Linked DNA regions of Drosophila melanogaster. The protein of the gene in region 1 interacts with the protein of each later gene in a pairwise test. Each region holds a gene or a part of one and is shown on either strand. Other genes may lie near its edges.

Region 1 (3,428 bases):
GAAGCATCGGTGGAGCTGGTGTGGTGACCAGGAGCTACGTGGCTGGCAATACCATCACCGTGGGCGTGAAGATCACCACCAATCACTTGGGTTACTTCGAGTTCCACCTGTGCAACCTGGACGCCTTCGGTGCCGAGTCGGAGGAGTGCTTCGATCAGAACCGCCTGCGATTCATCGATGGAAGCGATAGAAAGGATATCGGCGATCAGATGGGCGAATTCGATGTGACAGTCGTCCTGCCGGAGGGTCTTACCTGCTCTCACTGCGTCCTCCGCTGGACCTATGTGGGTGGTAAGTGGTGGCCAGAACGTAAATGGAACTTAAAGTGAAAATTAATTGAACATCTTGTGCATTTCAGCCAACAACTGGGGCATCTGCGATAATTCCGGAAACGGAGCCTTGGGCTGTGGCCCACAGGAAACATTCAAGAACTGCGCCGATGTGAGCATCTACTGGGGTCGCAACCTGGTCAAGGAATTGGTCGGTGGCGGAGATCCAGTGGCTCCGGTTGAGGTCGCCTGAAAATCCAGACTAAAATTCAACGAACTGCCATTTATGTCTGAAAATGCAAAATGCCAAATAGTCAGCTAAAGTTATTTAAATAAATGAGTGAACATTTACACATTAGTTAATTGGGTCCTTGGAGCTGCTTCCTATTTATAGAAATTTAGTTTTATTTACTGTTTAATTTTGAGATCTTATCCAATTTAGATACATTATTTAAACAGATGTTAGAGATAGACACATCATAACCAATATTTTTTAAGTCCAAAACTATGCAACAAATTGTATAAATCAGAATTTGTTAATGTTCTACGGCCTTCAGGTATACAGTATTTCTGCTAGGTTTTGACCTAAAAAGCAAGCAAAAAAAAATAATAGAAATTTGTTTATATATAATAACAATAATAGTGTGTAAATTGAAGGCGAAGTGGCTTTAAAGAACAGAATTACGTTACTTATAGTTCGATTCTTTTCATTGCAAATTTCAATATTTTGTTCGCTTTCACCTTGATTATTAATGCTTAATTGATGATTCTGAGAACACGTTGTATCGATAAAACAAAAGCATATAACCGCAAAAGTTGACCAAATAGATTGTGTTTATAGGGCAATTTAAATTTATGAAATCTGAAGATAGATATGCATCTTTTTTTGCAGTATGTGCTAAAATATATGTCTTATTTTGAGCCAAAGGGCCATGAAAAAGGAAAATAGTGGCTTCAAAGTACTCGCATGTTTTATCTGGAGGCATCATGGAATAATCGAAACTAAATAATTGCTGATTTATTAATATACGAGCAGCTTAATCCCTGAACTTAAACGTGGCCAATTTTTTTTAGCTGCGCGCAAGTGCTCTAAATTTGTTGTTTAAAAAAACATTTGCGTTTTTGGCTATTGTATGGACCGTACTACAATATATGATTGGCAGAAAAGTGCTGAAGTCAAAACCAACTAAAATAGTAAGTAATTGCACTTAAGAATCGTTGACCTTGGCTAACAAATTTTGCGAAATCGTGAGAATTTTTCCAAGCCTTTGAACTCCTATCAAAATGGCATTGGTGGGCTAAATAATAATAGCATAATAAAGCAGTCTTCCAAGTTATTATGATTAGGTTACCAAAAAATACGGGTATTGCTTAGATGTGTCATATGTGTTTTCACACTTTCCAGGTCAGATACAAGAAATTCTCCCAAATTCTAACTACCAATAACCATAAACGAAATTAAGATTGTGAGCCGATAAGATGCATTCACGGTTATTGGACGAAAAATCAAAAACAAACATAAACTGCCCGGCAACTGATAAGGTTTGGCAATATGGAACTATATAAGGCCACGACCAGTTCGTTTTGGCCACAAAGAAAGTGAAATCAATATGAATACGTATAAATTTATCCTGTTTCTTAGCATGGGTTTTTTAAACCGGATGGGTGAACTGGAGGGCCACGGTATGATGTTAAGTCCAACCGGAAGATCCTCGCGTTGGCGCTACGATAACTCGGCGCCAACAAACTACGATGACAATGCATTATATTGCGGTGGATTTTGGGTAGGAGTGCCTTAAAAAAATTCTATATTCATTTGATTCAATGATGTTCTTAACCCTTTAGAAACAAACCGAAAATGATGGCAAATGTGGACTGTGCGGAGACGACTGGAGCTTGGAGCAGCCGCGACCCAATGAGTTGGGTGGAAAATATGGCAGTGGAGTGATTGTAAAGAGCTTTGCCGGAGTAGATGAAGCGGAAATTAATGTTAAGATCACAGCCAATCATCTGGGCTACTTCCGCTTCCACATCTGCGATTTGGACGAAAATGGCAGCGAGTCGGAGGATTGCTTTAACCAATATCCTTTGAATTTCACCGACGGTAGCCAGAAGTACTACATTAACACCACCACTGGCGATATCCCAGTAACCGTGAAACTGCCCAGTGATCTCAACTGCATTCATTGCGTTTTGCGCTGGACTTACACGGCGGGAAATAATTGGGGTGTTTGTGAGGATGGGACGGGCGCCATGGGTTGTGGGGCGCAGGAAACCTTTATTAACTGCGCTGATATCAGTGTACTATCCTCAGCGAGAAGTATTATCCAGGAGGTGCCCGTGGAGGTGGCGGAATCGAAGTGAGGTGGTTATCATCAGCGGTGGCCAATCGAACAATACTGCTAGTCTCAATAAATTATGTAACTTATTTATTTCTAATTGTTCCAAATTGTTCATCAACAATACGATTTTGTTTTAAGAAAAGGTTATTTTATTACTTCAATTCTTCATTTATGTATTGATTTAACAATACTTGATAAAAAATGCACCTCAAAAAGTTCCATTTAACAATAAGACAATAATAGTTAAGTATTTACGAACCACCATAAATAAATGCCATTTTGAAAATTATGAATGTTTATTTCTGTTTTATTCAATAAATTAATCGTCGTATATATTATTTATACATATATATGAGTGTGTGTTTTGAGTGTGTGTGTGGATTGTTGGTGATGACCGTTCGTCTTTGAGGTGCAGGGCATCGCACTCCCTCCTCCTAAGATGGATCCTACTTATTAAATTCTTGATTCTGAAAGCCCTGTCTTAGACGTGTTCTTAACGATCGGATGAGATTTGCACGGTTGAGTGCTTAAATATTTGTTGTTTTTAAGCTATCCTGTTTATGTTCGTATTTGTATCTTGTATGTTATTTTAATATTCGTAATTTGTCTTAAGTTATTCGTGGCTTACAAAATATGTTTCACATTAACTGGCTTATTAGTTAACTTCACAAATAAGTTGTATGTATATATATATGCATTCTTTTCTTTTATATTTTACAAAGCCTTCAAAAGTCAATTGCAAACGATAAGTCGGTAAATTCACTACAAAACTCAAAAGTCGCGTTTTAAGAATATCTATTGGTTTACGTTTTCCTTT
Region 2 (4,711 bases), on another chromosome or scaffold:
TATTGAAAATTAAAACTAATAATAGGTGTTGGTTATCTTTAAAATTGATTTCATTATCAAGTTATTATGCTCGATACGTGCATACTGATTGGCACAAGGCCCACTTTTCCTCAATTTTCCCGCTGTGCAGAGAATTTCCCGCGGCCAGGCAACTTGTGCTGGGCACACTTCCACATCTCTACTGCCACATCATCCACCTCCATCGACAGTCCGTTGCTGGTTTTTGGACTTTTCAGCTTTTCTCACAGGGGCTGGCGTTTTTCGGCTGCCTGGGCGTTTTGTTTGCATAGAAAGGCCGGAGGGGTGGGGCGGCGAGAGGCGGGGCGGTACAGGGGGTGTGGTTCAATTAGCCCGCTTCTCAGCTGCAGCCCTGAAATGCAACAGCTCGACCGGCAGCTTCCAGCTGTGGGAGGCCCAACTGGCACGGGTTAATCTGGATTGGGTTCCGAATAATCACGACTTCTCGGGATCTTCCAAATCAGAGTCTAAGTACATATGTACATTGTTTTTAGTTTTCCTAAAATATTACTAAAATAACATGCTATGTAATCTTACAAATACTTTGAATTTCGTGAATTTTCTGAAACAGAATTTTCAAATGTGTCAGATAAATTCCAATTGTTAAACCCTTTTCTGCAGCCTTACATCCGGTGAAATCTTCCAAGTATTTGTTATGATTTTCGAACATTCTTAACTATCTATATATATTTAGCAATATTTTCCATTTCTAAACGCTGTGATAAAACCACACCTGGATTTATTTTGCTCAAGCTAAGACCATTTAAAGTCGCAATTTCCAGAGTTAGTCTACTTTTGGGGGCAAAGCTGTTGCAATCTAAGTTTCGCTGGTCTTTTCCAAATTTCCTTTTCTTTAATTTAGTCGTTTTCGAGGTAAAAACACGACCATTTCCCCGCAAAACTCCCTTTCGCTGCGACCGATAGTAACGAAAAGTCGAAATGGAAAACAATTTGTCATCTTGCGTGGATTTTCATTTCTATTCTCATACATATATTTCGTATACCCTTTTGTTTTTCCTACGATTTTCAGCTATCCAGTTCTGGGAAAACAACATTGGCGAACATTTAATTGAACGCAATAGTAGTTGTTGCCGTGTGTGCATTTGTTTTCAGTTTTTAACGCAGGCACGCGATGAAAGAGAGGGCCGCAGGACTGTCGAAAGAGACGGCACGAGGGGCACGTGTCCGTGTGCGTGCCATCTCGCTCGCACAGCGGCCATCGCTCTAATTATAGGTTAGGCCCGTCCGATCTGCCATTGGCCAAAGCGTTCATATAGAGGGGGCTGTGCTCTGGGAACTGGTTTTACCCAAAGCAGCCGGGGTTTTTATGAATGAAACTGGAAGGGAAAGGCGCACACACCACCAAAATACGAATACACGAATGCATATATATATATATATATATATCTTTACCCCTGGCACCCATTCGCACCACTCTAGAGAGTGGTGTGTGTTGTTTTATATTTTGTTGTTGCTGTTGTTTTTGGATTGTCTGTACGAGCGTCTCGCTTGCACTGATGGCATCGTTGGCCCCCACGTTGAATTTTGGTTAGTTGGAGTGAATTTACGACTGTGTGCTATCTCACTCGCACCGCTGCGGCAGCTACGCCGGCAGCGGCAGCGACTGTGGCAGCGTTGGTGGCAGCGGCGACATTTAGACAAGCTTTTTGTTCGCGTGAAACAGTTGCAAGCCTTTGAACGATCAGCGACGACGGCGTTACTTTTGGCGCGGATACAGCAGCGACACTTTTTTTTCGTTGGCAGGCGCCTCCTGTCACCAAACAAACAAATAAATAAACAAATAAACATAAAAACAAACAAGCAAATAAATAAACAATAAACCAACAAGCAAACAAACAAACATAAACAAGCCAACAAGCAGCCAAGCTAAACAAAACAACTGTGTGCATTTTTGGTTCGAGTTTCCTTTAATTTCCATCGCTTATATTTCATTTTTTTTTTGCCTGTGTTCCTTAGAAAAGAAGTCTATAAAGAATAAAAAAAATAAAAAAAAAATTAAGCCCATATATAGGCACAAAATCCCAGTGACAATAAGAGCAGTCAAACATTGCAACTCTCAGCAGCAAACATCAGCCGACGGCCGAGTGAAGAAAAGTGCAACGCCGACGGACTCGAGAAAAGATACAGATACAGATACGGATTATACATATCTGGGCTATTAGCTGGGCCATAATCTGCTCTCAAGCGATTTAGCCCACTTTGCTTTTTTTCTGAGTGCGTGTGTGCTTGTGCTGTGCTGTGCTGTGCTGTGCTGTGCTTGCCAATCCATTTGTCCATGTCCTTTACATCTTTTTTCCCTTACTCTCCAAGATCAGTGAGCCTGGCCTGCAACAATAGTCGCAACAAAGAAAAAAGTAGTTGAGTTGAGCAAGAAGAAAAGAATAGAAAATCGAACCCTAAACCCAAGTGGCCGCAAAACAAAGCAGAAGCAAAACAGACAGCATCATTGTGCGCCTCAAATTGACATCAGCAGCAGCAGCAGCAGCCGCAGCAGCAACGACAACTGCCACTGCCACTGCAGCAGCAGCAACATCAGCAGCAGCAGGAGACGCAGCAGGAACATCCACAGCAACCATGTTAACGGACATGACACCGACCGCCGGTCAGCTCTACGGATCCCAGATTCCGGCCATGGGCATGAACATCAGCAATATCGCCACACACTTGCAGAAGCCACAAGTTAATCCGGTAAGCCGAAATCTCAAATCCCAAATCCGAAGATACCAAAACCGCACCTCGAGATATGTATCTGCAAGATAGGTCACTACAGATACGATTTGGTCAGAGCGTTCTTATCGAAGTGTATCTTTCTTTTAACACTGGGCCTCAATTATGCACACTTACCGTCACTTTACACACAATTGCCATCCATCGAATAGAAAACTATCGACAGCATAGCCCAAAAGTAGTAGATTCTATTATACAGATACAATTACAGGGTGTAGAGATACAAATGTATCAATCTGTATAAGAAATTATAAAATTATGCCAATTATGGTGACCATTACTTTAGATACAATTGTCATGTCAGAAAGTTAATATTTGTAATATACAGAATTACAAGCATAATTGGGTCTTAATCAACTGTTCTAGAAAAACTAGTGTTTTTTGCACCCAAAAACGAAAAATGCCAATGTACTAAGAGCAATTTATTACACCCACTATTCGCTTCGCTAAACATTTCATAGTTATCGCTGCAGAGTTTAGCCCGAAAGTATCTCATAGATACATATGTGGGCTCACTGCGCACAAGTGACTGGCAGGCATTTGCTGACTTAGTCATGATTTGATGAATGCCTCCCGCAGACACTCGTGCACTTCGACATAAATCATTCGCGCAGAGAAGTCAAGAAGTTACTTTACGGCAAGTATTTCTGTATCTCACAGTTGCGGCTGCCAAATCCTTACCAATTGTCGCTTATAAAATATATGTACATACGTACAGTAATCGGACAAATCAGCCACTTACACGGCATTAGCATTGACAATAAACAGCCATAAACAAACAATGACAACAGACGCCGCGGATTTCGATTTGTATTCAGTTACGGATACGATTTCGCATCCGAGGAATTCACAGTAGCGCACACCTTTTGTCAGCCGCTCAGCTGGATTCCTTTTGTGAGGCGATGATGATTGGAACTCATCGGGATTGTTTGGTAGTATCTAATGCCGGGGAACGGGATACAAATCGATTGGACGCGGCTTGTTCAGCCCCGGATTTTTTCACTGTTTTCTGTGTGCCAACGGATTTCACGGTATGCGCCGCAGATACATAGCTGCAGATACAGATACTATTGATAGGCTGAGATACTGAGGTACCAGGTAGGCGCCGTTTGCCGTTTCTCGTTTCTCGCTCTCAAAATCAATTATTCAGGCTCACTTGAGGTGTGAAGCTAACGATGGAATCATTCCTGGGTCTACTTAAAATCTTTTTTTGTTGTTTTTTTTTTTTGTTTCATTTGGGGTTTTGGCAAATCTGTAGAGATCGTATTTCCACGCTGACTTTTCGACTCGTATCGCTTATCGCACAGCGGAAGCAAACACTTAAAGGCTAAAACGCATCAGGCAGCCGTTCATAATGATCTTTTGGCCCCGATCCAAAATTCGCTCATCAATCTCGTCCGGCCTTTGATCTGGACCGAAAAACTAAGACAGATTTCCGCTAATGATCGTTTTTGTACGGCTCCTCCGGGCTTTTGCTCTCGATTTCAATTCGAATTTCAGTTAGCTGATTATGCAAGTCCATCGTGCTGGCCCACATCATATGATATTGGTTCAAAACCCTGTAATTCACAGCAAAAGGTCAGCGGCTAGATCAGTTGGCTAAAAATAATTTGTTAAATTCCCCAAATGAAAACTTTGATGTCAATGCTAGAAGTCATTAAAATCAGAATCAGGGTTTGTAAAGTATTTAAAGAAGAATATAGTGTGTTCTAAAGTGTATACTTTAAAAGTTTAGCCAAACGAATAATTAAATAAATAAATTAGGGTTGATTGTACTTTAGATATACTATCTCTGTTCTGAAGGATTAGCCCGAATCGCATGACACTTTTAATAGAGTCAGCAACGCCAAATGGACGCAATGTGATTGAGGCACTTTCAATCTGCTGCCCCTGGCCACCACCTGCCCCTCCCCCCTCCCTCCTTTCCAACGTTCATTTTTCTCCG

The links. Proteins that work in one complex are often made in the same cells at the same time.
Region 2: the proteins of CG4367 (region 1) and Sp1 interact in a two-hybrid assay, tested with the Drosophila melanogaster proteins (one large-scale study listed by BioGRID).

The regions. Positions count from the first base shown.
Region 1 is NT_033777.3:20,303,407-20,306,834, reverse strand, and holds CG4367 (uncharacterized protein), read left to right. Parts: upstream 1-1,857; 5' UTR 1,858-1,879; coding exon 1,880-2,053; intron 2,054-2,114; coding exon 2,115-2,633; 3' UTR 2,634-2,880; downstream 2,881-3,428. Other genes in the region: CG4362 (uncharacterized protein), read left to right, coding at 1-291, 359-522.
Region 2 is NC_004354.4:9,727,951-9,732,661, forward strand, and holds the start of Sp1 (Sp1), read left to right. Parts: upstream 1-1,697; 5' UTR 1,698-1,933; exon of another isoform or gene 1,934-2,349; 5' UTR 2,350-2,613; coding exon 2,614-2,727; intron 2,728-4,711.